Coturnix japonica: one gene and its partners. The protein of the gene in region 3 interacts with the protein of the main gene of each other region in a pairwise test. Links are inferred from orthologs where the notes say so. Each region holds a gene or a part of one and is shown on either strand. Other genes may lie near its edges. The genes, in order: ESR2, RORB, NRIP1, CEP70 and CIB1.

Region 1 (5,807 bases), on a different chromosome or scaffold from region 3:
AGAGTAAAGGAGTAAGGCTCTTGGTGTGAAAGGCAACGTTTTCAGCCATGCAAAGCCAGAGTACGCATTATCCAGCTTATGATAACCTAGGGATGTCTCCGACTGCCTTCCTGGACAGTACTTTATTAAGTTGAAAATGTATGGAATACATTAATATAAATCATTGGGAGCAGATTTCATGGCAGTGCAAATGTACAGCACACATCCCAAGTCAGAAGAGACCCTTAAGAACTATGGAGTTTAACTCCTTCTCCAAGGCTTTTCTTCTTGCATGTTATTGCAGAAGAAGGGGCAAGCAACAACTTTTTCCCTCTTCTGGCTGTGTTGCTACATTATCTGGCACTTGCTGGAAGTTCCAGAGAGAACTAAATGCTAGAAAAGGGCTTATGTCATATTGCATCAATTCTGTTCTTGCTTCTGGGGTGCTGCATGTGGAGGTGATGCAGACATTACTACCATCACAAACTACCCTTGTCTTTTCCTTGCTTTGATCAACAAGTGGCATTTAGAAATAAGGTGACAGCACAAGGTGACCATGATGTGGCTTATTTCATAGGTACTGAACAAACCCAAAAACATAGCTGCCTCCAGAGATCAAAACAAAACACCAAGTGACAACCCTGCAAACAGCAGCCTTATATGTTGTGGGAAAATAATGGTCTGTTTTCATAGGAGTCCTCCACAATACAATGTGATAAATCTTTAATAGATGTGAGTTTCCAGAGTGGGTCCTTGGTACCTTCAAGAAGTCTCCGGGACTGTCATCTAAAGAGGTGCCCACATGTAAGGCGGGTCTGCATTCACCTATGTGCTGATTGCACTTCAGCACTGTTCTGATTTATTTATTTTCCCTGAACACTTTCAAGGCAAGGCTGGGGAAGGCCCTGGGCAACCTGATTGAGCTGTGGTGTCACTGTTTGTTGCAGGGCAGTAGGACTAGATGGCCCTTAGAAGTCTCTTCCAACTCTAAGTTGGGTTCCATGGTTCTATCCTTTCAAATGTTTTGTGGAACGTGTGTCAATGATAACCACAGCTATTTATGTTCCCAACTGAGATGGCAGCAATGCATACTTTGGACTTCAGTGTCTCTTTTTCCATCTTTCTTCACAACCCACATTTCTTTTTTTCTTCTTTTTTTTTTTTTTTTGTATATTCAAGACATTTTTATAAAAACAGAGATGTAAACAAGTTGATTTATTTGACGCTGTTTTTATCATTTCAGGCTTCATTGATCTCAGTCTCTATGACCAAGTCAGGCTGTTGGAAAGCTGCTGGCTGGAAGTTTTAATGATTGGTTTAATGTGGAGATCGATCGACCATCCTGGGAAATTAATTTTCGCACCGGACCTTGTACTGGACAGGTAAGAGAAATCAGCTTCTTGAGAGCCCTTCAGTGAGTGTGTTTGGAGGGAGATGAATGGAGAAAGGAGGGGATGAAATATTGGAGATGATGTGAACGTTTAATTTAACAATACAATTCACTTGTATTTTAACAGTTCTATCTTGAGAATTCACACGCTGAGCATAAATAGTGCTTTTGAACTTGAGAGTTCCTGAATTCCACTACCACATAACAGTGTTGAGTTTCTCTGTATTTTTCACTGTTTTTGTAGGTTTTGATGCTTTTGGCCCAGGGCTCCAGATGCTAAAACTGTAGACATCAACACAATCTGCTCTGTTATCAAACAGCTTCCATTGGCCAATAGATTTTCTCCCTAACCCTTAAAAAAATAAAGAAGAAAAAGGAGTAGAGAAAGTTTCAGACTCTGTTTTAATTACTTAGAGTAGTTTATCTCAGATTTTTTCCTGTAGTTTCATATTTACATTAATGATCTTCGTAGCACTAGCCAAAAGGGATTTTAAAAAGTAATTTGGTGTTAAATACCAAAAGTTTTCTTCAAGCTTAAGTAGAGTGTTTGAAAGTTTAAAACTTATTTATCCATAGCTATGTACCAATAGGGAAGAATATGGATTAGTAAAGATGTTTTTCCACAGCAAGCTAGAACAATTTGATTTGGGTTTCTTGTTGGTAAAAAGTCAGAGAGAGAATCTGCTGTCTTGGCAAGGAGCAAAGTCTCTCCTAACCTTTTCAACCTGGGGAAATTCATATCTGCACCAATCTGGGCTTGAGCTAAATAATCACTGCCTTCATAGATTCAGAAAGTAAAATGGGTTAGTAAGAGAAATAAATTTGAATTACATAGGATTTGAAGTAAATTGTGGTTTTCTTATATAAAATTCAGTGTGAGGGCACGCTAGGTTATTCAATGCAATGATAAGAAATTGCTGAAGATGTATGATATGTTCAGTTCCTCAGGAGCTAATATGAGCTGAATGGAGATGGCTTGATAAATTCCTTCAACTCCATAAGACTTAACAGAGTGGGAGCTAGCAAGCATCTGTGCACCCTATATTACTTCTATGATACGCTCATGTGAACTCTAGCTCCATTACCCCCCACAGTCTTTGTAGACGTACTTCTCTGACGCTTGTGCCTTTGTCTTGATTCTGCCAGCTGCTGGTCCTCCTCCAAAACTTGAATTTCTTTGCCAAGAGAAGCCATGCAGTAATGAGGCAGCTGCCTTTCTGCAGGCCATACCTTCAGCTCCTGGGTGGTGTTGCCTGCCTCAGCCTGAGCACTCATCACCTTCCTCTGGTAGCAAGGAGTGCTCATGCACCACTGTCCTTAGGTGTGTCCCTAATAACACAGCAGGCAAAACTCTTGGCTTACAGGTGGTGTAAGAAGCATCTCTTTGAATACGGCGTCACAGAGCTTTACAGCTTTGTAATTCCAGTACCTTTAACAAAAAATCTGAAGCACTAACTTAAGTGGTTTAAAATTACCTCAGTTTTCATTTTAAGCCTATTGGAATGGCTTAAGGTGTAAGTATTTTTTCAGTTCATCCTCAGAACTAGAAACGTTCCTGTTTCTAATATCCAAAATGGAGGAGGTTACAATCACCATTCACTTGCAACCATAAACAAACAAAACCAGCCAGACAAAATCCAAAGCTATTCAAAAGTGAACACCTCCAACAGGTGGTTTGGATGGTTGTAGGAATTATCTTATTGTTCTGAGAAACTTAGTTTAGTCAGGTTTTCTTAATTATTAATACCTTAGTCCTCTGTCAGGTACAAACAGGGATGTCATAGGTTGTGGCATGAATTCCTTGTGAAAGCACTATGGAAAATGATTCAAGGAGGTGCCATGCTCTGCCCTGTAGAATGTAGTTTAAAGCTGATTATCAGAAATTATGCTGGTTGTGAGGTTAAAGCCTCTTTACAGAAATATGTCCATACTTACCTGTGGTCAATCCTGTAAGCACTTTAAACGCTTTACAGAGAAAATTAGTTTCTTAGAGGTGCTGACCTCTTATGCCATTGTAATTTTCCATTTAGATTTCCTGATAGAAGCTTTTGAATGCTCCCACAGACCAGACAGATAGGCTTCTTGCAGCATTCTTTTTGCTTTGGCTTTTATCTGGCTGAGTCAGAGTTCCTTAATTCTACTTTTTTGGTAACATTTTAAATGTTTCCATAGGGACGAGGGGAAATGCGTAGAGGGAATTTTGGAAATCTTTGATATGCTCCTGGCCATGACCTCGAGGTTCCGAGAGCTGAAACTGCAGCACAAGGAGTATCTGTGTGTCAAGGCAATGATCCTCCTCAATTCCAGTGAGTACACAATTGCCTCTGACACTCACCAAATTATACTTATTTCGACTGCGGCTGGGTAATCAGTGTCTAAAAATGACAGAAATATCAAATGAGATAAGGCAGAATTCAAAGGGAACGCTAAAAAGGGACTTCATGAAATCATAAGAGGGTTTTGCTCAAGAAACTTCTAAGCTATATTGTTTGGATTTAGGGTCTCTATCCTGCTCTAAAGAACTGCATGAATAAACCCAAATCTGAAAACCTGCTCACAAATTGGGGTTTGTGACCCAGGTGGTGGGTATGTCCTTTTCAAATCTAAACCCCAATGATCAGTCAGGAGTGCAGCTCAGAGTTCCATGGATCCTGGTCATGGATGATGCTGCTTCATGCCTATACAAGCCTGTTCTTTGCTCTAGTAACATTATTTAGTCAACTGAGTGGCAGTCAATTGTGCTGAAATATTTCTATTTAGTGATAAATAATTAGTAGAAGTGCTAGAAATAACTTAACAGTTCTGCAAGATGAATGTGAGGACGGCAAGCTTGCTTTGCAGCTTTCTACAGCCTATGGTAAAATCCTTCTATTCCCCAGGACGTTTTGTAAGGGCATAAGAAAAACAAGAAAAAACAACCGAAAACCATCTGTATGTAGAATAATGATACTGTTTACATCTATTGTTTTCAGATGAAGCTTCTGTGTAACTCTCAGCAAGGTTTCTGAAGGGGAATAGTCCAGCTGTTTTCTGACTTTGTTTGTAGAACAGAAGCCATTATTTCAACTGACAGCAAAACTCTTCCATTTATTTTTATTTAGCCAAAGGGGGAAAGAAATGCTCATTAGCCGTGGCTTTTCTTAAAAGCTTCACCTCTCAAAAAAACCCTTCTCCTCTCAAGGCTCTCCTTCCTTAGCAAGGTTTATCTGTTACTTCTGTTTTTCGGGGTGTTCTGGAGCTTTCTCCATCCATAAGCATCTTTGGGATTCTCTATCAAGAATACTAGCGAGAGTTTCCAGGCTTTCCTAGTGGCAGTTTCTTCTTTCTCCTCCCCACTCCCCTTTCTTCTGCTTTTGCTGACTTCTGAGGGGTCTCATGGTAGGCAGGTGCTGTCCTGTGGCACCATGGTGAGCTGTTGGGAGCCTACAGCGGTCAGTAAGAATAGCTGCTCTCCTCCTTCCCTTGGATTTACTTGGAGAAGAAAGGGGTTTCTTTTCAGCATGAACGAAACTAAAATGTATGGTGTAATGTGATTCAAAGGAAAAAGCCCTGGAGAATGGAGAACATGTCTGCTTCCCCACAGACAGAGAGCTCAGAGCTCAGTCTGACTGTGGAGTCTATGTTCAATGTGTTGTCTTGGGAGGATTTGGGAGAGTCAATCACTATGCAATCGATGCAGAAATCCAATTTGGATGAAGAAATACAAGCTGAAGCTTGGTGTGTTACATGCAGTGCTGTTTGCATTGTGTTGGGCTGTGTGAATGTGTGTCAGGAAATACAACTTTTCTTATCCTGTGAATTATTACATTGGAAGATGACCCATGGTCGTAGTTTTTTGTGCCTCACAAGCAGGATTTCTTTGTCTTCTCTGCTAGGCATGTTTCCCTTGTCAGCAGAAGAACCCGAAAGCAACAGGAAGCTGCACCACCTGCTCAATGTGGTCACAGATGCTCTGGTGTGGGTTATTGCAAAGAGTGGGATCCCTTCCCAGCAGCAAACAACTCGCCTGGCCAACCTGTTGATGCTGCTCTCCCATGTCAGACATGCAAGGTAAATCTTACAGGATGTGAGAGATATACCAGTTGTTTGTGTTTGCTTCTTAGAGTGACAGAGTCAGTCTAGAACTCCACAGTGCCCCTGAGGGATGCTCTTCATCTCTGTTTTGTAAGACTATCCTTCCTAGTATGGCTAAATAGGCAATGATCCCACACTCTGGCATAGTGATATGGTAGTGATACAACTGCAGAGATCTCAGTCAGCAAAGTGTCATCATAGCTGGCTGTATGACAGAAGAAAAGAGGATTCTTAAAGCCTGTAGTTATCTGCAAGATCTAACACTGGACATGCAGAGAGGAAGCCAACTGCTTGAAGTTAGCCACTATCATATGGTCTTCCCTCTCAGCCAGTTGGGAGACGTAGGTTGTTAATGTGGTGTGAA
Region 2 (5,807 bases), on a different chromosome or scaffold from region 3:
AAATGACTGTTGTCTTTTTCACAGAGAAAAGTCTCAGGGATTTACACACTCAATTTACATAATCTCCATGCACAAAATTCATGCATTCCTTCTAATGAGAAGGGCAGGAAAACATCAGAATGCAAACTACTGTCCCCAGGAATAGGGCTCACTACACTGAGATTGAAATTTTCGAAAATGACGGTCTGATTGCTAAGGAACTACAAGGAGTAAACATAGCCTATATACACAGTGGTCATTGATAATTATCTGCTCTTTATTTTCTCTCTCTCTCTTTAAATTCTGGCTTTTTACTGGCCTAGATATTGAGATGTCAGAGAACAGGAAGCTATTAATCATGCTTTAAGACAAATGAGATCCGTCAATTAGGATACATTCAGCAGAATTTATCAGAGAACAGATAGGAGGACATTTCTTTGGAAATACTTATTTTACATATTATGAGGACTATTTTCAAATGCTACTTCCCGTCCACCTGTAATGGAGATCATCACTCTTATTAGTGGCTTGGTTTCCATTTTGGCTCCATTTCAGTTATAGACCTCCAGAAGATTCTGAGCCTACAGATGCTCATAAAATACATATATATATTTATTTTTTTTAATAGCAAAAAATACCCTAACAGTAACAATGAAACACAGAGAAAGAGAACTCTATTAGAAGGAAATGGCATAAAATTCAGGAGATGGTAGCCTTTTCAATTTATTTTTCTTGTTACCAGTACCAGCTTACTTGCAGACCTCCGCACAGACTGAGTTTACTTCACATAGACACTGGCTGCTCTGCAACCAGCCCACTGTGCATTGCACACTGTTATGGACAATATATAATGACTAGATTTTGAGAAGTACAACTGCGTGTTTTCTTCAAATGTAGGGTCTCCGTAAAAACAAATACCCACAGTTTACTCTCATTATGTATTCATTAATTGGATTCTCCAGCTGCTGTCAATTAGCATCCTGCCTCTGCATGATAAAAATGAATCTGTTACATGGCTGAAAGGTAAAATTCACATCCAGTTTTTCTGTCAAAAAAGATCCATGCAGGCTATTTTAAACTTGCAAGAACTCTCCATATGATTAAGTATAAACACTCTCACATCCACAATGAGAGAAGAAAGAGATGCCAACAAAAGAATCCCTCTTTGTACACAGCAGTCCCTGCATTATAGGTTGGGAAGACAATGTCATGTGTTAAATACTTCTGTGATATCTCAAATACTTGGACGGTATTACTTTTATTGGGAAAGTACATGCTGTTAAATTACTGAAATTTTCCTACAGTGCTCTCCAGGAAGAAGCAATAGCTATGGTGTGAAAGTATACTGCATGCTAGACCCAAAAGGACTCCATGAATTAAAGGTGAGACAGCAGGGTCCTCTCAGTCTGCTGAGACAGATGAGCAAGTTGTTTCAGTGAGACATGAAACATAGTGAGGTAGGAAAAGAACTATTATAGATATAAAGCAAAATTATAAAGTCTGAACTATCTTATGAAATAGGTCTTAAAGTAACTTCATCAGTGCCTGTTAATTCCAAAGAACAAGTTTTATGAACAAATGCTGTCACGTAATCAAAGCTAATATAGCCTTACTGAAGCAAATGTAAGCTGCCTTCAAGGACAGAACATTCTCTTCTCGTACTCACTGACCATTTCAAATGTGACAGTGAGCTGGACAGCCATTGCATTAGCAATGAAATGTTTCTCTTGTAGATCCAGGCATGGACAGGAGGCAGTGCACCAATTAAATGCTTTTTTTCACAAGGCAAAATGCTTGGTCAAGTGTTCTGAATAAAATAAACAGCTGAAAAACCTTAATATTATCAAGGTGTACTCTTTTTTTTAAACTGCCTATTCACAGTCACAGATCTTTAGAGATCACAAGGAAAGGGATGCTTCCTCACACCAGTATTGTGGTGTGTATAACCAGTATAACCAATGTTGTTAATATAAAAAGTTGTCTAAACTGGAATACAAATCCTTCTCTCCATAGATAACTTTCGTGATTTTGAGCAGAACAATGCAGTTCCTATCCAACTATTTCCCTTCTAACCTAACATTGTTTTCCATTTTGCTATCTTCCCACCCTCTTCATGAAAATAGCTTCCACTGTTAAGATCTGTGTCTCACAGTGTGTACGTTACAAAGCAAGGAGCTTCTCCTCTCTCTTTTTCTAGAAATCTACAGGGAGTTTAAGTAAGTCAGCAGAGAAGAAGAATTTCAAATGTTTAGGCATAAAGCAGGAATCTGACTCCTTACCATCTCTAGACATTCCCAGGGCAAGACATTTCTGCAGTCGGCAGTGTTGGCAACGATTTCTGTTGGTTCTGTCAATTAAACAGTTTCTCTGCCTTGGGCAGGAGTAGGAGGCATTGTTCTGCTGACTCCTCCGAAAGAATCCCTAGGGGCGACAAGGAAGAGAGAAGGAGTATTACCATGTGGGTATGTGCACACACACATGCACACACACACATGCACACATACACAGCCATGCAAGCTCTCATGTAGCATAATGTTATTTTTTGCTAGGACTTTGCAGATGCACTAGCCTTGTACAGTGAAATTAAAGAGCATTTACTGCTCATAAGGAGGATTTGTAATTGTTCAGTAAAGAATCTAACACTACTTTGCTAAAGGACAAACAATAAAGAGTTACAGAATATATTCCTATTATGTAATAACTACCATGGATCATCTAATTCTTGCACCTCACAGATGAAAAGCTTGTCAGCATTGGTAAACAGATAACATTAAAGTACTTTTTCTGACTATTTTCCATCTATTGAAAGAAACTTCTAACATCCGGCACTGGCTATACATAGGATTAGAAGCTGAAGTCTGCTGTTAAATTTAATCTGGCAAATGTTGATCTGATCTGGAGAGCCCATACACTTTGGGAGTGAAAAGTAATTCAAATTCAAACATTACAAAAGCACTAGGATTTAATGGCTGTATCAGGTACATCTGACACACAAAGGAGAAAGCAACACCTTTAGACACTACCATGAGAAAGTACAGATATTTTCCATATCAATGGAATATAACATTAACCATTTAATCTATCAAAAATAGTTCAACACTCTATATCCTGGAGGGTTTGTCTGGCCTGTTGCTGGCCTATTTGCTAAATTTTTGAGGGTGAGAACATGTAATGATTTATGAGCTCCTAAACACTACAAACAGCACTAAGAGGTACTATTTCTGTAGAAATGAAATGAAGTGGCAGAAATTAAAAGAAAGATGAAACCAGGGAGAAAGCATTTTATAATTCTCTTTTCTTTCCTGTAAAATAAAGCATGAGAGGATCAGTGAGTTGAGAGTGAGGGAGAAAAAACAAAGAAAATAATTTAATTGGCAAACTTAGCAGCTTTAGAAGAAAGTAATTGCATGGCTGTTTGGTGGGAGAGATGAAGGATAGCACAACCGCTGCAAGAAACTATGAAGGGAAAGCATCATTACTGTACTTAAACTAGTCACTGGCAGAAGTGACACCAAAGTGCTTGTGACTTTCCGTGTTGGTTTGTAAACAGCTCTCAGTGGAGTCAGAAAAGAAGCGCTGACTGCACTCATCAGGCAAAACCATTGTTATCTTCGTTCAGGCTGACAGAAGATACTAATAAGGGATGGGATTTACAACTCCTGTGGGTTTCTGGGGGAAGGAGTGGGAAAACAACAGGGTGATGTTGTCACAGGGCTTGATTTCCATGCTACAGGTAGCACCTGTAATCCCTCTTCAGTCCCTGAAAATCAAATTAGGGTGGCACGAGATGTCAGTAAGAGTGCAATAAGCATGATGTTCCACTGAAGAGACAGCAGTGATAGTTCCTGAAATCGATGATCCCAAAGAAGCTTAATTCATCTGGCCCATGCTGGCTTTATCAGTGATTACACTGTGCAGTGACTATTAAATTAAGGTTTATGATTTGCATGGTTAAGAGCATGGATATCCTTTAGGGAAGCTCTCAGGAAAAGTTCATTGTGGACTTACCTGATCCTAGTTGACCAAACATTTTTTTAGCAGTGGAGATGAGCTTAATGTTACTGCTAGATGGATGACAATTGCAGATATTTCTTATCTGTTTGTTGAACCTTACAGCCAATTTTGTTTTTGACGTGAGGAACATTTTCTGCTTTAGATTTTAGCAGCTCTTATGTGATATGGATTCGAGAGAACAAATGAGTTAAATTATGTTAAAATAACCCACACAACCACCTAGCATCAACTATGCCTTATCACATAGTACTGTTTTTATCTATTAAGGCTGATCTCCTCTCACAAGAATTTGTTTGTATTTTTTTCCCCACTAACTTCGATCTCTTACAAGAATTTGTTTTTTTCAGTCACTGCTCCTCTTAGGGAAAAATCAAGGATTACATAATGAAGTTAATCTACAGCAGGTAATTTATTTCTCCAAGGAGACTTTTGTGCTCTGTTCTTTCAGCAAAGATCTAAGTGCTTTCTTACTGAGAAACCTTTCATTTCATGTTGGAAGATTTTTACATAACATTAGTTATATTTACTGGGAATAATGCTGTTCTGGAGAAGCGGGACACAAGTCATTACTGAGGAGTTAAAGGACATACAGAAAGACAAGTCTTCCAGTGTTCTCAGAACCGACTAGAAGTCTTTCTGCATCTTAAACAGTTCACTTTATCCATCACTGGCAGTCTGAGAAGGGAATGGCCTCTTAAACTGTCCTCTAGATCCTTGCTGCGCTGTGGATTACAAGAGACCTCTCACCAAAAGGGGTCACAGAGACACTGGGATGGAAACATGTCTTTCAGTTTTGTTCTTTCCTTGGTGACTGCTGGCAGAGCCACCATTTTCTTTAGTGGGCCCAGCACACTGCTCAGCCTATGCAGGTGTGCAGTATGTAACTGCTGTAGCATTTACAATGCCCCTTAAGCTCTTACGATATGCATTTGCAGTGGCAGAACTAATGCATAGACAGAGAGTGAAAGGACAGAGAAAGTCTGTAGCATTGCCAGCGGGAGTGCAATCCTCCAATGCCATTCCCCAAAACGCTGAGGCCCTCTGGTGCTTGGCTTAATGTGCGCGGTCTTGTGAAAGCCCTTCTGGCCTACTTTGTAATACTCTTCCTCTTAATTAGTTCAGATTTCTAATGCATTCAGACAAAAGGAGCTAGAAATGACAAGTTATTAGTATATGGGATGAACAAAGATTTATTTAACTGCTGGGCAAAGAGGAGCAGTGTTGCACTACCTGAGACAGTGCTTAAATGAAGAGAGAGCTCACGCAGAGGGAGATGGCCTCCACTGGGCCTGATGTGAAGGCTGGACATCTTTTTTTCACAAGAAGCTTGCAAAACAGCATTAGACTAATTGATGCGATACTGCAAAACTGGCACAAAACTCATAGATTTTAAACTGCTCTAATTGGAAGAAAAGCTCTTTATCTCAATAAGTGGTCCCCACATAGAGCTAAGGGTATTGTCTCTCCTTGAGGCACACACAAGGGTCAGAATTAAGCCTGATCACATCTACAGGAGACTGTACCCCTCAGTGCACTGTGGAAGCTGGATATAGAGTCAAGATGTTCCTTTTCTGCTCCAAATGTTTTTCTCCTGTAACTTTTATTCAAATATTAAAGTATTAGATCAATTAGTACAGTCCTGTTTCATGTAATTGTTGTAAGAAAATGCTTATTTCCAGTCCAGTCTCACAAAAAGACAGTGTCACAGGGTAAGCTTTTCATTTAACACCCTTAAAGTTTCTGAAAGAAATCAGATCTTTGAGAATATATTCCTTCTTAACACACTGACACTAAATGCATTGTTTTGTGAATGA
Region 3 (5,807 bases):
AGGCTGTACGCTTACACTTTATGTTATACCAAAGACTTGCAATTCCAAATAAGACTCTGATCAAAGAGTACTCATAACTTAATTTGATGCATACAGAAATGTCTTGTACAAATTACAACCTTTCTAATTTCCTTGTGACAGTCTACAGTAAAGCAAATTTTATCTACATGTATTTTAAATAACATCACCATAAAAATAAAAAGTTTATCAAATGAAAACATGTTTCAGTTAGACCATGCTTTTCTAAAATCATGCTCAATTTATACAGTAGTCAAGTTCGTACTCTTTTTTTTTTTAATGCTTGTTTTTTTCTTTTTCTTTTTTTCTTTTTTCTTTTTTTTTTTTTTTAAACAAACACTCAAAAGCACAGATTGTAAACTCCTTGGTGAGGCTGTAGTTTATTCTGGCTCTTTTTTGATTGTTAGCACTTTTTCCAGAAGTCCGTGCACTTCTCCGTTCACACCATGTTGATGTGAGGTCTTATTTCCCACATGGCTGTTGTAAGGGCTTCTTAAGTTACTAAAAGGAGTTTTAAGCTCTCCGTCAGATGTTAACTCCTCTTTGATTGTAACACGAGTCGAACTATCAGTAAACGATGGTTCATTCCATATTTCTTTGTCATGTGCTTCTTGGCTACTAACAGAGTTGCCGCCTTTCTGTAACATGTAGTACAGGATTGGATTGGTTTTGGTCAGTCTCGGAGAGTCTTTTTCATAATCGTTCTTGTCCATACCTGTGATCACCCATCTAATGGGACCTTTCTCACTGGGCATGGGGCACACACTAAACTGGTCAGGTTCAAGTCTCCCCAAATGTTCAGGGAAGGGGGAACTGGCAGGACTTTTTACTGGATACTGAAATGTTCTGTGATCTACGCAATTGCTCTGTTGCACAGGACTTCCCATTAACGCATTTACTGAAGAAATGCTGAATTCGGGTTTATTAATTGTTGAGTTGCTTTTGTTTCCTTTTTTCTTGCTCTCAGTTAGTAAGTTATTCCTATGTTGCGACAGGTCTCTCTCACAGTTTTCTGAGAGAAGCAGCTGTTTCAACACGTTAAAGCCTTTACTATCTCTAGACCAACTCCTATTATCACTTTCATTATTTGAACCATGACTTACAGCATATTTAAATTCTGAATCACTTCTGCCAAATTTCAGTTCTTGCTGGTTTAGCAAAGGCCCATACAGTGCCTCTGTAGGAGAAACGTGATTGTTTGCAGCATGAGACACATTAGTTTTCATCTTTTTTAACGGACTTTCCAAAGGCTCAGCATGAAGCTTCCTTTTCTTCGGTACTGTGCAAAGACTCTTTGATTCCAGGTGTGCCAGCTCATTGTTTTGATGACTTCTGTCCACCTCATCTGCAGGGTAACTATCCTGATTCTGTCTCAGCAATCTACTTAGCAGGCCATTTTTGGAAAAAGAAAAATCTTGAGGTGAAAGAGGCTCAGACTTCATCTCCTCAGATGCTGGAGAAGCAGCTGTGTTTCTCTGTAGCGAATGAACAAATCCTTGAAATTTGTTACCCTTGCACTCTCTTATTTGTTGTGCATTTGAATTATAAGGGACATTTGATTCTTCAGACGGTTCAGTTTTTATTTTCACTGTCAATATTTGCTCATTCAAAGCCTTATCTGTGTGTTCCTGAGAACTTTCATCTCTTAAAAGCACCCTCTCTTTCTTTTCATTTTTACCTTTATTGGGAGTTCCCAGAAGCAGCTGAAGGACAGTTCGCCTTTCAAGGAGATTTTCTATTTCCGAACCTGGAAGTCCTTGTTCAGTGGGTACAGAATGACAACTTAATATTTTGTTATTTTCTTCGTGAGTACTTAATTTATTTGTAAGCAGAGGGCTGTTCAATCTATCAATCAAGCCTACGGGTTTATCTGTGTTCCCCACCAGCAGATGTTTGCCGGATCTTTGTTCTTCACTTGACATGGAAGTCTGCATACCACACTGAGCAAGATTCTGCAACAGCTTGCTGGCACTGAAAGCTGACGAGTTTTGTGGACTGTCGTTTCGGCTCAGCTTAGCTCCTTGAATTTCTTTGCTTTTTGAAAGGTCTATCAAATGTTTAGATGCAGGATTCACCAGCCTGTCTGGCTGGATGCTGCAGGCATATGGTGGTGAGCTACGCTTGATGGCTAATGATGGGTGAGAGAGATTTATAGGAGAGTCTGCTTTTGCAGAAGCAAGCAAAGGTGGAGTGTTTAGTGGAGTCATTCGATTTGCATTGGGACTGTCAGTAACAGGAGTCCTTTTACCAGTTTGTACAGTGAATTTTGCCACATCAGCAGCACTGTGTGGTCCCTGAGGCTCATTACTTTTGTCTACCTTTTCTTCACTCTTATGCCCAAGTAACAGCTGAAGTAGTGTTACTTTTTGATGGGGGTTCAGCTTAGATGCTTTTGGAGTGTCTTTGTCCTCCTTGCTCTCCGGACAGGAAACTTTTGGATCCCAGCTATGAAGCAAGGACTGAGTCAGGTTATCCAGTGACGCCGGTGGACCTGTGTCTGGTTTGTCTGTCCTCTGTTTAAAAGATAAGTCTATAGGAAGACAGTTAGAATGGGAACTTTCGTCATCGCTGCTGTCATCTGTAAAACTAGGATTGTTGTCTGAATACTCATCAATAGTTGTTGGTGTGCTACTCTCTTCAAAAATGCTGGCTCTCTCACTCTGTTCATGGCCTTTTAATTGTTTGGTGGTATTCTGGCTTTTCAGGAGATGTAAGAGCAAACTGTTGCTGGGAGAGGTTTTCACATTATTCCTTTCCAAGGTACTTTTGAATCCAACATTTTTGGGTGGTGAATGTGTGATTCCCACCGAACTCTGAAACGGTGCCATATTGCTTTTGCTAGATACCATTTTGGTTGATGATCCTGCTTGACCATTGAGATGGCTTGTCATTCCTTTTGCTAAACTGAACTGGCCAATATCTTTTTGAGCACTTTCTTGTAATCTGGCCATAGCTGCAAGTCTCTCACTTGCTATTTGATTTGCATTTTGTGCTTTTAAAGCATGTTCCCTGGAGTACTGCTGCAAGTGAGCTTCACTTGAAAGTAGTAAAGCTAGTTGGCTGCATGCTACACTGGGCTTTGGTGAAGCAGCAGGACTAGATCGTTTCTCTACCATGCTTGCCACAGCTTGTAATCTTGCAGCACATGACAGTGGTTCATTTACTACTTTAGGTCCGCTCTGCACTGCATGAGGAGATTCTATAAACCTCTCTTTGGGCAGGTTCTTTGTTATATCAGGCAAGCTGTTGTCCAACTTCTGATCCTTTGCTTTGCTCTTCTTCAATAGAGTCTTCAGGTGACTGGATGCAACACCATAGCACCGTAAATCTTTCTCCACCTGTAAAGAATCATGGCTAAGGGAATAGCCTTGCTCCTTAAGGCTCTGTCTAATCTGCTGTGACAGAGCAACACTCTGAAGCCTAGAGCTGAATGACTGAAGCAAAGAGGCAAGTAATGTGCTATCCTGTTTGCCTTTAGGCACATTTTCAACCATGCCAGCTAACAAAGCTTCCTTTTTTCCGTCTAAATCCACAATGGAATCAGACAACCGCCTTCTCTTCGCTGCATTCCAATCTTCAGAAGACTGCAACAGCCTTGCTTTTTTGAGGTGCAACATGCCAGATCCCTGATATGTACTTGTGTTAAGAACTGGACCATTACTTTGACAGCTGGGAAATATATTTCCAGAAATATTAAAGTTTTGATCCTCTCCACTATGCCCAGCAGACTTTTTGTCAACTGTAGTACCTGAGCCTCCTGCCGCTTGATGCATTAGTAATCCTTCTAGGTAAGTTAGAACAACAGAATCCTGGTGCATCTCAGAGCCAAGCTCTTCTCCATGAGTCATGTTCAATAAAAGTATCCAAAAGGGCTCTGTTTCTATTCACTTCAAAGACCAGTTTGCTGCAGCTGAATCGAGATGCAGAGTTAATAAATAATAGATAGATGTCTATAGCGTGTTCTCACAAACTTTCAGAAGCAACACAGTCACATTCCAGGCAGGTTTCTTCCAGTGTATCTTGACTGAAAACCAATCATGTCCCTGTGTTGAGATACAGAATATTTACGACGGATGTCGAGGAAGAGCACTCAAAACACACTTCTAAGGCAGTAAAGTTCTATTACATATTTGCTTTCTTCAGCTTTCTCCAGGAAGTTAGTTTGGTTTTCATCTTTTTCCATCTCCATCAAGAACACAGAATACCTAAGTGGGGGAAAAAAAAAGAAAACCAAAAAACAGTGGTCAAGAAAAAGAATTTGGGTAAAATCTAAATAAACTGCATAAGAGATGTTTTTTCCACATACAGTTCTAGAGAGATCCAAGATGTACAAGCATTAATCACACTCTAGAAGAAATTAATGATTGAATAATGCAATGAGTCTACAGCACCTAATCTGAAGAACGTTGTGAAAATCACTCTGAGACAGAAAGCATTATGTAAAATCTAAGCTAAAGTGAACTATCCTAAGAGTAGCTACTAGAAGTGATCACTGAATCTCTCTGCTATAAAACTCCAACTAAAAACTAGTAACCATGAAAGAAAAATCTAAATATTGCTCAGAAAAATTTACTCTGGATTCTACCTCACAGTTCCAACAATATTTTTACGTTAGCATGTGAACACACAAGGCATGAACAGCATCACTCTGAAAGAAAATTAATGAGGGAAAAAAATGCATCTAAAAGTCAACGTTCAGGTTCATGTTGAATTTGTCAAACACCTGAATAAGCAGCAACACATACGAGCACATTTCTGTTCTTCCAACTCCCAACTACCATAAGTAATTTGAAGAGTCAGGCAATAGGAAGGGAGGAAAAGGCAATTATTAACACATTCCTGCTAGAACTTCATTGAAAGATATTTACTTGTACATTCTTTCCACGTATTCGATGTAAAGTGGTGAAAAAGCAGGCCCTTCTTTGAAGTCTTTTTGTTTTTGAAGTCATTCTTGTAGATCACCTCTACTCAATACTTACTTGGATGAGGCAGTATGCTGTAACGTGTAGTTTTAAAAAACGCAGTGGCTCTTACACTAGATGTATCTCTTAGTTTTACACTAGTCAACGACAGCATGAACAGTTCACAGAGTTAACAGTTCAGTACTGAGATCATTATACCACACACACCTACTTCTTTTCTCTTTCAGTACTACATAGGCACAAATACTCAATATGAACACAGCTAAGTGCCCTTCAACATACCTAGCTCTGCAATTTTCTTTCACAGACTAAAAGCATACTTAAATCCGTAAACACAAGTTTTCAAAAGGACATATAAAGGTGAAAGCCATGCATCTTGAAAGTGAACGAATGCTTTATGATTGATTTCTCAGAGGCTTTTTTTTTTTTTTTAATTCAAAAGCTACAGGCAACTAGAAGTTAGAAAAATATCAGATCTGAAATAAGTTTAGAATTAGAACCACAGTTACACAGCCCCAATGCTAACATCTTATATACACTCCTGTATGAAGATGTTCTTACTAGACTTCAAGTCATTTAGGAAAGTTCCACAAACTATTCAAACAAGCAAGTAAACAGATAAAAAAACACAGAGAACTAAAACACCAGCAACACACTGTAGTGTAAATGAGTATACCCGTGTACCTAAACAATGAATTGAAAGTTGGCAGCTCATACTTGGGAGTCAGAAGTTCTCTCACAAAATACCTATGAACTCACTGTTCCTTCAAAATCCCGTGTCTCTGCTTTGACTTTCAAAAAGGTTCAATCCCAAATGGTTTAAATATAACAGACAGCAAGTCCTCGAAAAAAAATATGGTTCATACG
Region 4 (5,682 bases), on a different chromosome or scaffold from region 3:
TACCGTACATATTTGGCCTACTGGTGACCTACTGTATGTATTTGGCATGTAGGTCTTCAGGGAGCAGTACCAGAGAAGGAACAGAAGAAAAGAAAGAACCTGAGAGTACTGCAGAAGATCGGCTGCATGCAGTCTGCCAGCAGTACTTACAGGTATGCCAACTTCATTGGTACCATGCCTATCTAGCACTTTCATAACAAAATACGAGCCTTATTTAATTGCATAAACTGAAGCATGCTCTTTTGAACTCTGGAGGAAAGCCCTGAACACAACGTGTAATGTTCTGGCTATGGCAGTTGATATAGGCTACCTTAATGTAAACTACATGAAGTTACTACAAACCAGAGACTAGCTTGGCAAACCTCCAATCAATGATTTAGCCTGAGTTCTCATCAGGATAGAGAACAAAGATCAATGTCCTGTGGAAGGCATTCCTTTCTGTTATGGTTTTAAGAATTACTGAGAAGATGATAGCTTTTCATTTTTCCTTAAGAAAGAACAAATATAGTAAAGCTTAACAAAATATAAACTGTGTAAGTAACAACATTGTGAGAAGATAAACAAAATATTCCCTCCATGGGAAGTCTACGTGCATTACTTTTACTTTTCTTCTACTTAGTTTCTTTTTATATCTTTGAATCTATGACATGCTGAGTGCCTCTATAAAAGTCATAGATGGTAACTTACCAGAAATAGTTATGATTTAAATGATTGTGACTGGTGGTGAGGGAATTTATAATAAAAAGCTTAGTTTGAGTAATAACTTTTTCTATCTATTATTGAAGGTGCTGTCCAATATCGACTCTATTATACGAAGTCCAAGAGCTCCTCCATTAATATACAGGCGCAGCAAAGGGCCAGTGCAAAATTATATTAAAGAGAATGGACAGGAATGTGGATTTGAGCACCTCCCACTCACTATAGAAATGTGGGCAGACCAGCTGGTGGCCCTAAAGGTAACGCACTCTCACACTTAGCTTTGTATCCCTCTTTTAATCTGTTGAAAACCTCACGGTGCTTCTTTATCCAGTGTTCTTGTGCTTTAGTTTGTATTGTTGTCTGACCTGGTGTTAAATGGACAAGATATTTAAGCAGTTACTACAATGAGCTGTCCCCCCTCTGTTTTAAAAGGATTTGCACAGGTCACTGAGAAAACTGTCTCTGGAATTGGTACCCTGGCACACTGCGGATCCACAAGATAACACAGAATCCATACGGGTTCAAGACCTTCAGTTCATAGTAGATGCAGTTTTAGAAGAAATAGAAAACAAGGAAAAGGTAATTCTTCACACGATTAGACTTCTGCATTTCAAAGCCTTTTGGGGCTTAAGAAATAGCTGTGGGAAGAGGTCCAATTCTCCAAGATTACTTTCACATAATGGATAAATTCACCCCGGGGAAGACTGCTTTAATCAAGGTCATTTGACCAACCATGAATTTGCCTTACCCTGTAGTGCTGGGTATTATCCTGTTCCATCTTTTTCTCAGTCAGCATTCAGAATACCTAAACAGACTTAATAAACATCAGAAAACAAAGCTTCCAAAAGAATATTGTTTTCATAAGAGTATTTTTGGCTTGCTGGATATCTCTCTTGAGATTTAAGAATATTCAAAATGCCTCAATTTAATAAGGGAAGTTACACCTGTTTTAATTTGTGGACTAGTTTTAAGAACATCTCGTGGTTAAAAGAAGCAACAACTTAGTAAAGTTACCCTTTCTGCTTCCTGCAGAACAGCCAGACACCATCCTTACCAACACTGTATGCAATAGTCTCTCACTTCCAGAAGCTGTTTGATGTGAATTCTCTGAATGGCATTTACCCACGAATGAATGAGGTGTACACAAAACTTGGGGAACTGACCAATGCTATGAGAAATCTCCATGAGCTCCTGGAACTAGGTAAAGACTCATCACCTACCACTTGTTCAGGCTATTTCCAAAGGAAAAGCTTTGTTTTATGAGCACTTACTTACTAATTCTCCTTTATCAATTGAAACATAAGGTTTTTTGTTTGTTTTAAATTGTTTTGGAATAACAAACTTTGCTCTAGATTTCTTCTCAGTAACTCATTCCAGGGTAAGCATGTTCAGTCCTTAAGAACACCCCTTTACAATCCTAAATGTTTACTTGTTCTTTTAAGTATTGAATGTCAAGAACTAAGTGCCACCAGTAGTCACTTCCAGGTGCCTATTCATTCTCTTCTGGTTTTGCACTTCTGAAGAACAGCAGCTGCTAATCTTCCCTGAGTTCATGGGTTTAGAGGCTTGGCTGTGCTGCAGGGTGTACAGCCAGAGGGCAAGGCTCCTAAACTACTGAAGCCTTCTGAAGTCTCATTCAAAGAGGGAAGCAGACTTCCTGCCTGCCACCACCAACAGGAAATGAAGAAGCTTCTCATCCCCTTGTAATTACAAAGCAATGGAGTTCAGTGGACACCTTCTCACAATTAGTTCATCTGAAACTGAGTGAGGAAAGGAAAAGAACCTGGTATTTTTACCTTTCATCATAGTAGCCAAAGCAGGTTAAAACAAGCAAACAGAGCAAGTTCTTGCTACTAACAAAATATCAGGAAACAGTTCCCTCTATGATACATGAAAGTTCAATAGAATCTGGGCACCTGCAAGAACTGAATTATGTCTTCTTTTCCTGTTATTACTCTTACCAGAAACATGAAGTTGTGTTTTCCAGATAGTTCAGCTCCACCCACCATGGTGGTGGATACAGTTGGGAAACTGTGTGACATAATTAACGAGAATGTGACTGAACAACTACGGCGGCTCCTGGGGACACAAGACATCCACAGGTATTTAGTTCTGTTCCACTGGCAACAGTTCTGCAAACAGAAATCTTATGAACTGACAGAGTTGCCTAAAATTGATACTGGAGGAGACTTCTGTCCTTTGCTACAGTGCTGTGACAGTAAAGGATTTACTACTATCCTACATGGAACAAGTCTTGAACACTTTCTAAAGGGTATTTCTGGTAAATAGAAAAAAATAAGGTTCCCTTAGCACTACCTTGTTGATTTGCATGGATACAGTGATCAAAAAAGCCTCTTAAGCTTATGTTTCATAAGGAGACATAGCAAGTGCTGTATGTTGGTGGGGATGCGAAACTACTTCAAGGTTGCGACTGTAATATTGAAATGTATTAGCTGCTGAGAGAACGTACACCTCAAGCTTCCTGAAAATCTTTCGAGAGCTGGACAAATCATCAACAAATGAGAACACAGAGGTGGTAGCAAGTTGTAAGAGCTTGCATTCAGAATGTGCTGTACAAGTGTACAAAGAGATTAACTGCAGCAGTAAATTTGTAACAGGCAAAGTGAACAACGGTGACACCATCAACCTTTCAGTGCTCCATGCAGTTTTAACTATAGACAAGCTGCTTATAATGTTCTTGCCTCCACCTCTAGCTCTTATACTACCTGGGTTGCTGATATATTTAGCATATACAGGCTGCTGCTCCAGACCAAAAATTACACAGCACTGTATAAGGAGGAAAATATATTGGGCAGAAACAGTGAAATCAAAAATAATCTGACTTTTAACAATTGTTGGCTTCAGGTTTCAGTACATGAGGATGCGTTTTTGGTGCAGGTGTATTTGTATATACTAAGTAACAGTAGTTTCAGAAAGCAGTGACACTGTATGGCAAAAAAGCCAAGAAAACGAACTTAATATGTTCTTATAGTTTTGCAGTAACGGTCTTACTTTCAAATCTCAGTATCATCAATAAGCTAGAAGAACATGAATGCTTCTTTCCACCGTTTCAAGCCCTCATTCAAGATTTGCTCTCTCTTCTAGGTGAGTAACATTTCCATGCTGTAATTATCTCCATGGCAGAGCTCCCTCCCAGGCTGTTAAATAGCTAACACACTTTGTTTACTCCTGGTGTGCAAAAAAACACAAGGAAATTGTGAGAAAAGGTGCTAAGCCTTACCTTGCTCTGCTAAGAAAGCTACTGAAATAATGAAGTTTTCATTGAAAAATGGGGTCATTTACATTCAACCATAAAACTTATAAGCTAAAATAACGTTTTTCTTCCCCCAAAAGCATGAAGAGGTTTGAGGAGTTTATTCTCTGCAGTAGTTTTTTTGCTCACTGGCCGTATTTCTAACACTTAAGCTAGAATTATGATTGAACTTTAAAGTGTTTTATATACAACTCATACAATTCTGCTTTTCATTCTGTTTCAGAGATCAATAACCTGGATGATATTTTACCTACTGTACGAAAGCTGAAATTGGTAGCTAGTTAAGGGATAGTTTGATCTATCCTGGGAAGACTTAACCTGTGAGGCAGCCTTGTTGGTTCACATGTCATTACAGCTACCTCTAACCTCTGTTACTAATGAACAGTTTCAGACTTTTTAATATAAATAAAAGTTTGGCTTTGCCACTTCATTCTTTTAGTTTCTCTGCATTCTTACACTGACCACGAAACAAGAAAAATAACCACAATAACCTGTTCTGTCCTGGAGAGAGGACCAATACATACCGTACTGATATAGGAAACTGAAGCCAACACAAAAGCAAAGACCACAAAGGCACTTACCTTTCTGAATGTAGCTCATCAGCAGGTATGAGATGACGTTGCTCAGAGTGCCCTATAGATGTAATACTTTCATCATTACCTTGGTCGTCTTGAGAGCCTATTTTAAAATGCTGTTTAGATCTTCAGCTAGGTTTATTTTTTTTTTGGTTATGGATTGAAACACACCACATTAATGTAATCTAGGCTGAACACATTTTAAGCCTACATCAGAACATGGTTTACAGCTTTTTGCCTAGAAGGGATTTGAAGTTACCACGCTTATATTCTACCATCACTTTTAGAAGGGCATAGATAAAGTTCCTTAAGCAAGACATGTCAGAGTTTATTGTAAACAAACAAGTACACCAAGCTTCCAAAAATATTTTGGTATATTTCGCTCCAATATTAATAAAGCTTAGTCCAAAACTCTGCTGTTCCTCAGGCAGAATGATTTACTATCAAGGCTTATGAGATGCTGAAATGTTGTAACAAAGAACAGAACATGTTAAGGCATTACAAACTAAAACCTTAATGACATCCTGGCAAACGAATCTCCCTGCTTTTGGAAGCTCATCATATGCAGACCTGCAGCCACAATCTGCTTAAATGCTTTTCAGAAGCAGAATATCAATGTCTTTGTTTCTCAAGAACTGCTATTAGTCTTACAGTTGATTTGAATGAGTCCTGTAGCCTTACAGATGAAAGTCGCTGTTTAAAAATGGATTCTTTTAGAAGAGTAATGCTTTCAGATATCTTTAAAACAACACAAATAGGCTCTTAGGGAAACGAAACTGAGAAGAAAGTGATCACACATAGCTGGCCATCTAAAAATATCTCCAGGTCCAACACTTCCTTAAGAGCGCATTCATATGTAAGGATTCTTGGGGAGGAGATGCACCATCAGGAATAAATGATTTGTTATCTAGAGAGAAATTATTTCCCCAGTTTTACTTCACTGAGAACTCCTGTCAGTAGGATCATTCCGTGCACACGTCCTGAGCAGCAGATGGCTTCAAGTTTGCAGTGAATGTTTCAAAACACTTCCATTAGAAAAGAGGTATATACAGTCAATACAAAGTTTAAAGTTAGTAACTTATGTACACGAGAAGAAATCAATTTTTCTTGCGTCTACTTCTTGTCAGCTCGTAC
Region 5 (6,329 bases), on a different chromosome or scaffold from region 3:
TGTGCCAGCATGCAGATCCAGAACAGCATCCCTGCGACCCCAGCGTAGGGTTTGCAGTGCTCTGCTGCTCTGAGGCCCCGCTTGAATGATGTAGAGAAGCAGCTCTAGAGCACAGTGCTGCTTATCTGCCTCGTGCCTGGGAAGCAGCAAGCTCTGCACCAAGGCAGCGTGCTGGGGCAGGATGCCGTGGGACCCGCACTGCCTCGCTCCTGCCAGGACAGTGTTCCCCACTTCCTGCCCAGCCTGTTCTGGGACATCAAAAAAGCCACCGGAGGCGTCGGCTGGTGCCGTGCCAGCAGACATGGCCCCGCAGGCTGCAGCAGGCAGATAAGCATCATCACTGCAGGGCAGCGAGCTGGAAGGGCCTGCACTGCTGGGAGCAAGCAGCCGGGACGTGAGAAACAGCTGCAAGCTGGGGCTGGGGATCCAGCAGCACCGGGCACTGCAGCCATCTCAGCATGGTGCTGTTAGGGAATGCTGCGGGCTCCCTGCACAGAGCGTTCCCAGATGGCAGCCAGCCAGCACCAGGCCCGCTGGATGAACAGACACAAAGGGCCCTTGCGCTGCCCACAGCAAAGGTACAGCTTGCTTGCCCTGGATTTCCTTTTGTGCCTCCTGTTAGAGAGCAGAGCTCTTTGTGCAGTGCCTGCTAAGCACGCTGGGAACGGCCTCTGGTTCTCCCAAGGAGGGGGGGATCATGCAGCAAGCTGCTTCCCCAGCAGGACTAGGAGCTGCCTCCCTGCTGAACTGGGACCCCGTTCCCAAGAGCTGCAGCTGGCTCAGGGCAGGGGGCTGGCGGGGGGCCACATCCCCAGCACCCTCTTGGCAGTTGATGCTGCAGCGCTCACACCCCGCTCCTCCCCCCCGCGCGAGACAAAGGCCACTGGCAGCAGGACCAGGTTGGGGGTGAAACCAGAGCCCTTTATTTGTCCTCTCCAGCGCACAAAGGAAGGGGGCCAGGCCCTGCCTGCTCCAGGCAAAGCACTGGCTGAGCATGAGCCTAAGGCAGAGAGGAAAGAACTGGAAAGTGAGAACAGACCCTGAGTGTATTGGTGCTGGAGCAAGGAGCACAGCCCCCACGCCCCAGGGCAGCAAAGGGACAGCACTGCTGGGATGGCACATCCAAAGTTCAATTGGGTTATTGCTTGGAGGAACTGCTCCCCAGGGTGCAGGAAAGCCCCGTGGAAGAGCAGCAGAAGGCACATATGGTACTGTGGGTGGTGAGAGGGGCTGTGCTCGATGCAGTGCGGCATCTCTGTGCCTGCCCTGACACACCGCAGAGCTGTGCTTGTGTGGGGTGAAAATGTGCTGCTGGGACAGCCAAGCTGCTGCCTGCGGTGGAGCCTCACGGGGCCGTTTGGACACCTGTAACTGAGCCCACCAGGCACTGGGGGAGCAGAGTCCTGCCCTAGAGCACAGTGCGGCACTGCCAGGCTGGGGAGGAGCAGGGCCTTGGCTGCTCTCCTCAGAAGAAGAGGGAACATCTGAGATAACAAAGAGACGCGGCAGCTGGAGAAGCAGATCTGCAGGAGAGCCACAGGGCCCTCACAGGACAATCTTGAAGGAGCTGTAAGAGACACGACATGTTCTGCACCTCCTTGCTGCATGAGAAGTGGTTTGTGAGCAACCAGCACTCTGTGGATGTGCTGTGCTCCTGCATAGGTGAGTACAGTGCAGGAGGAAGTTCCTGTGGGAACTTCTAAGGGGTGGCCTTGCCTTGCTGCTCTGGTAAGTGCTGCCTCAAAGCCAGCACAGCAGCAGGGTGGGCTGACCCCTGGGGCCCCTTGAGCTGCTGGAAGCCACGTACCTGACAAAGTCTGGGGAGCGGGAGATGACGTGCTGGAACTCAGAGAGGTTGATGGTCCCATCCTTGTCTATGTCAGACTCCTCCAGGACCTGCAGGACAGGCAGTGAGCAGTGAGCTCACCAGGGCTGGGACCATGCAGCGCTCCCTGCCCAGCTCGGGTCCTCACATTACGGATGAGCTGCTCCATCTCAGTGTTACTCAGCCGTGACTCCTCGCCTTGCCCTGTCAGGCAGTTCACCAGCTTCTCCAGGTCCTTTCTGTCCAGGACCCCATCATCGTCAAAGTCTTTGGGCAGAAGAAAGTACCTTTCTGTGGGGCCCCCGTGACTCAGGTCACAGGCACCCACGCTGGGAGGGGGCTGGGACAACACGTGGGCACGGCAGCTCCAAGTACAGAGGGTGCCCCCAAAGCTGCCCCGTGGGCACAATGAAGGCACTGCCAGCCCTTGTCGCCTGTCCCCCGCCATTGGGTGGGATCCCAGGACACCACATCACACCCAGGGTTACCAAAGATGCGGAAGGCGTAGTGGGATTTGATATCTGAGGTGGCAGCATCACTGAAGACGCTCAGCATGTCGAGGAAGTCTTCGAAGGACATGCTGTCATCCCTGTCCAGGGACGTGGAGAACACGTGGCAGATCCGGTGCTGGAAGGGGTTTGCCTGCAGAGATGGGGAGGGCTCAGTGCAGGGCGGGCACTGACCCACGAGGAGCTGAGCAGAGCTGAGCTCTGATCTCGGCCCAGCACAGCCCTGCCATCACACGGGGCTGTGCCATCACACGGGGCTGTGCCACCACACGGGGCTGTGCCATCACACGGGGCTGTGCCACCCACGGGGCTGTGCCATCACACGGGGCTGTGCCATCACACGGGGCTGTGCCACCACACGGGGCTGTGTGGCTGCATTGCACAGGGCCGAGGAAGCAATCCCCGGTGCTGCACGGTGAGCACGGAGCGCTCCCAGCACGGTTTGTGCTCAGCAGGTGATCCTGCCCAGCCCCCCTCCAGGTACCGTACCCGCAGCTCCGGCAGCGTCAGGATCCGGCTCTTGGGAACGCGCACGGAGCGGGCGTTGTCCCTCTGCTCCCTGGGCAGCAGCTCACTGAACCTCTTGTAGGCACTTGAGGTGAAAACAAGGGCTGCTCTGTGCGGGAGCGGGCGGCCCCCGGCAGCACCGGCAGGTCCGGAGCCTCTGTCTCTGTCTCTGTCTGAGGTGAAAACAAGGGCTGCTCTGTGCGGGAGCGGGCGGCCCCCGGCAGCACCGGCAGGTCCGGAGCCTCTGTCTCTGTCTCTGTCTCTGTCTCTGTCTCTGTCTCTGTCTCTCTCGGACCGGGAGCCGCACCCGCGCACTTCGCACCCCGGGGTCACGGAAACGGCCCGTCCCGGCGCTGCCCGCCCACCCCCCAACGGGGAGCAGCTGCCAGCGCTGAGCCCCCCCCGCCAAGCCCCGGCACTTACAGCAGGATCTCCTGCTTGTTCAGGAACGTCAGCTCCTGCGGGGAGAGCGCGGTCAGACGGGGGGACCCCGAGGGGAGCTGCTCCGCCCCGGACTCCTCCCGTTCCCCGGGTCCCACCGATCCGGGAGCTGCCCCAGACACGGGACCGCAGATTCCCCATCCCTCGGTCACCCCCCTCGGACCTCCGACAACGGGGCTCCCCCCAACCTGGGACTCCAGCCCCAATACCTCGTACCCCCCCACACCTGGTACTCCCCCAGCGCCTCCCGTGGCAGCAAACTGCTGGAGCCCCCCATGTCGCCGGCGCCGCTTCCGCCCCGCACGTCACTCCGCCGCTCCCGTGGCAACGTCCCGCCCCGGGGTGGGAACACGCTGCACGCAGCGCCGCCCCCGGCCCCGCGCGGCACCGCTGGGAGCGGAGGTGGGTGGTGTGACGGGGTGTAATGGGGTGTAATGGGGTGTAATGGGGTGTAATGGGGTGGGGGATCGTCGGGACCCGGGGCCGGGGCACAGCGAGCGCGGCGGGACGGACGCTGGGGGCGGAGGGCGGCGCTGGGGGCGGCGGTCAAGTCGTGCACGCGTTCCGTTTTGTCAGGTCCCAGGCGGCACCGGGCATGGCAGTGCGGGACAGCGGGCACCGGGACGGGCTCGGAGCCGAGGAGTTCGTGTACCACGAGGATGAGTTCATCCTGGACGGCGTGGCGTGGCCGAGCACGGCGCTGTCCCGCTTCGACCGGGCGCTGCTGGAGGCCTGGCAGGAGCGCGAGGAGCGGGGCCTGTTCCGGTACCGGCTGCGGGAGCCGCCCACCCGCGTGCTGCCCGGCCCCATGCGCCTGCTGGCCCAGCTCAACGTGCAGCGCGCCACGTTGCGCCGCCGGCCGCAGGAGGTTCGCAGCGTGACGGAGCCGTTCAGCGCCCGGCACTTCAACTTCACGCAGATCCAGCCCGGGGAGCTGCTGCTGCGGCTGCGCCGGGGAACATCGACACACGGAGACCGAGCGGCCCCGGCCGAGCTGCTGGTGGCGATTAACGTCAGCCCGCTGCTGCGCGGCCACGTGCTGCTGCTGCCGGAGCCGGGGCTGTTCCTGCCGCAGCGCCTCACCCCGGAGCTGCTGCTGGCGGGGCTGCAGCTCGTGCTGCTCAGCGCCCGGCCCGGCTTCCGCGTGGGCTTCAACAGCCTGGGCGCCTCGGCGTCCGTCAACCACCTGCACCTGCACGGCCTGGACCTGCCGCACCCGCTGCTGGTGGAGTCGGCTCCGGCCGAGCCGCTCCGTGACCGTCTCCATGTGCTGTGGCGGGTCCCGGCCCCGGCGCTGCTGTTCTACACCCCGGGCGCGGGGCTGGACGCGCTGGACGCTCTGGCCCGTGACGCGTGTCGGGTGTCGGAGCGGCTGCTGGCGCTGGGCCTGGCCTACAACGTGTTCGTGACGCGGGGCGCCCCGCCGGACGGCTCGGCCGGGCCCGGTCCCGGTTCGGGGCTGCGGCTGCTGCTGTGGCCCCGCAGGCCGAACTTCGAGCCCGAGGCGGATGACGCGGTGCTGGCCGTGGCGCTGTGTGAGCTGGCCGGGTTCCTCCCGCTGCGCTCGGCCGCGGCCTTCGAGCGACTGAGCGAGGCCGAAGCGCTGCGCGCCATCCGACAGCCCCTGCTGCCGGAACCGGAAATGCGCCGCCTCGCCGCCGACCTGGCGCGGCTGCTGGAGGACTGAGCGCCGCTCTAGCCGACCAATGGCGAACGCGGACACGTGACCGGCCCGGCGCCGCTCTAGCCGGCCGGGCCGAGCTCTCTATGGTCGAGCGGAGACCGCTGCCTCGTCGCCATGGGAACGGCGGCGGGCTCGAGCGGCGCCATGGAGGCCGGGGGCGGCGGGCGGGGGGCGGCAGCTCGGAGCGGATCCGCTGCCCCCGGGATGGAGCCCAGAGCTGCCGCCTGCAGCCCCAGAGCGCGGAAGAAACGCAAGAAGTGCAGGCGAGTGCGGCGGGGGGGGCGGCCCGTGTCCGTCCGTGTCCGTCCGTGTATCCGCCCGCGTGTGCCCGGTGCGGGCCGTGCCGCACATAAAGCCCGGCCGTGTGCGCAGCGCCGTCATGTGTCTGTTGTGGGTCCGGGGCCTCGTGCCCGGGGGTGGCCGGGACTGTAACCAACGGAACCGGGATCCGACGGGGCTCAGAGCACGAGGGGGATGGAAATAAATAACACCGAGGGTGGAAATAACCCCGAGGGTGGGGCAGCCCCCAGAGCACGGACACGGGCTCGGGACCCACTTGGCACGTGGCCCATGGCAGTGGGTCACACTGGGCAGTGACACTGCGGGGTTTGGGTAACACGAGTGTGGCACGAGGCAGCTGTTCGTGTCCGCTCCCCTTTGTCGCCGTCTGGTCTCACTGAGCAGCTCTTGTGTCTTTCAATTCCAGCGCCCCATCCATTAACCTGACCAGCTGCAGGTACGAGAGCGGTAAGTCGCAGGATGCGTCGCGTCCCTTTGGATCGAGCCGTGCAGGCGGCTGCTCAGCCAGCAAGGAGCGCTGCATTTCTGCTGCAGAGTCACTTGTGTGTTACGTGTTTGTAAGTGACTTGAATCCCTGTGAACATTCTACACTTTGGGCTGAGGAGCTTCATGCTTTAAAGAGACCCAAACTGTGCAGCACTGCGAGCCCTCATCACCCTGTACATCTGTATGACCCACATTCCTGCTAAAATTGGTGAGAAGAGTTTTGCCAGAGATGGTTACAATGCACGACCTGTGCTTAGGGAAATGGAAAGCTACCATCAGTTCAAGCTGAAGCAGGTGGTGCAGCAGGCTGGATCAGTGCCTGCAGTATCTCTTTGATATTCACCTCCAATGACATGCTCTAGGTGGCTGCTCCACGCTCCTGTCTCGCTCTTCATTGCTGCCACAAGCCCTTTCTCAAAAGAACAATTTGATGGATGTCATTAGTCAATTTGCTAATGACTATCCTAGCATTACTGCCATGTTTGCATCGCTAAAGGTCACAGTCTTGTCAGCTGTGTGAGGAATGCTGTTCCCACCCAGAGCAACACGTGTTTCCCCTGCGGCCATGCTCAGGCAC

Evidence for each region.
Region 1: the proteins of NRIP1 (region 3) and ESR2 interact in a two-hybrid assay, tested with the Homo sapiens proteins (2 studies listed by BioGRID, with this or other methods). The link is inferred for Coturnix japonica from reciprocal best matches to the Homo sapiens genes NRIP1 and ESR2.
Region 2: the proteins of NRIP1 (region 3) and RORB interact in a two-hybrid assay, tested with the Homo sapiens proteins (2 studies listed by BioGRID). The link is inferred for Coturnix japonica from reciprocal best matches to the Homo sapiens genes NRIP1 and RORB.
Region 4: the proteins of NRIP1 (region 3) and CEP70 interact in binary tests that used the Homo sapiens proteins (3 or more experiments, as listed by UniProt). The link is inferred for Coturnix japonica from reciprocal best matches to the Homo sapiens genes NRIP1 and CEP70.
Region 5: the proteins of NRIP1 (region 3) and CIB1 interact in a two-hybrid assay, tested with the Homo sapiens proteins (2 studies listed by BioGRID and IntAct). The link is inferred for Coturnix japonica from reciprocal best matches to the Homo sapiens genes NRIP1 and CIB1.

What each region holds. Positions count from the first base shown.
Region 1 is NC_029520.1:48,234,734-48,240,540, forward strand, and holds part of ESR2 (estrogen receptor beta), read left to right. Parts: intron 1-1,222; coding exon 1,223-1,361; intron 1,362-3,541; coding exon 3,542-3,675; intron 3,676-5,244; coding exon 5,245-5,419; intron 5,420-5,807.
Region 2 is NC_029547.1:32,939,973-32,945,779, reverse strand, and holds part of RORB (nuclear receptor ROR-beta), read right to left. Parts: intron 2,401-5,807; coding exon 2,259-2,400; intron 1-2,258. UniProt on the Homo sapiens protein: Nuclear receptor that binds DNA as a monomer to ROR response elements (RORE) containing a single core motif half-site 5'-AGGTCA-3' preceded by a short A-T-rich sequence.
Region 3 is NC_029516.1:88,407,445-88,413,251, forward strand, and holds part of NRIP1 (nuclear receptor-interacting protein 1), read right to left. Parts: intron 4,224-5,807; 5' UTR 3,867-4,223; coding exon 399-3,866; 3' UTR 1-398. UniProt on the Homo sapiens protein: Modulates transcriptional activation by steroid receptors such as NR3C1, NR3C2 and ESR1. Also modulates transcriptional repression by nuclear hormone receptors.
Region 4 is NC_029522.1:18,778,608-18,784,289, reverse strand, and holds the end of CEP70 (centrosomal protein of 70 kDa), read left to right. Parts: intron 1-52; coding exon 53-152; intron 153-785; coding exon 786-956; intron 957-1,131; coding exon 1,132-1,278; intron 1,279-1,731; coding exon 1,732-1,900; intron 1,901-2,686; coding exon 2,687-2,801; intron 2,802-3,691; coding exon 3,692-3,804; intron 3,805-4,196; coding exon 4,197-4,258; 3' UTR 4,259-4,403; downstream 4,404-5,682. Other genes in the region: ESYT3 (extended synaptotagmin-3), read right to left, coding at 5,646-5,682.
Region 5 is NC_029525.1:18,187,617-18,193,945, forward strand, and holds CIB1 (calcium and integrin-binding protein 1), read right to left. Parts: upstream 3,640-6,329; 5' UTR 3,560-3,639; coding exon 3,509-3,559; intron 3,300-3,508; coding exon 3,265-3,299; intron 2,927-3,264; coding exon 2,824-2,926; intron 2,468-2,823; coding exon 2,314-2,467; intron 2,093-2,313; coding exon 1,974-2,092; intron 1,897-1,973; coding exon 1,808-1,896; intron 1,568-1,807; coding exon of another isoform or gene 1,546-1,567; exon of another isoform or gene 1,212-1,545; coding exon 1,139-1,211; 3' UTR 901-1,138; downstream 1-900. Other genes in the region: GDPGP1 (GDP-D-glucose phosphorylase 1), read left to right, coding at 3,878-4,969; tubulin polyglutamylase TTLL6, read left to right, coding at 5,081-5,229, 5,673-5,713. UniProt on the Homo sapiens protein: Calcium-binding protein that plays a role in the regulation of numerous cellular processes, such as cell differentiation, cell division, cell proliferation, cell migration, thrombosis, angiogenesis, cardiac hypertrophy and apoptosis.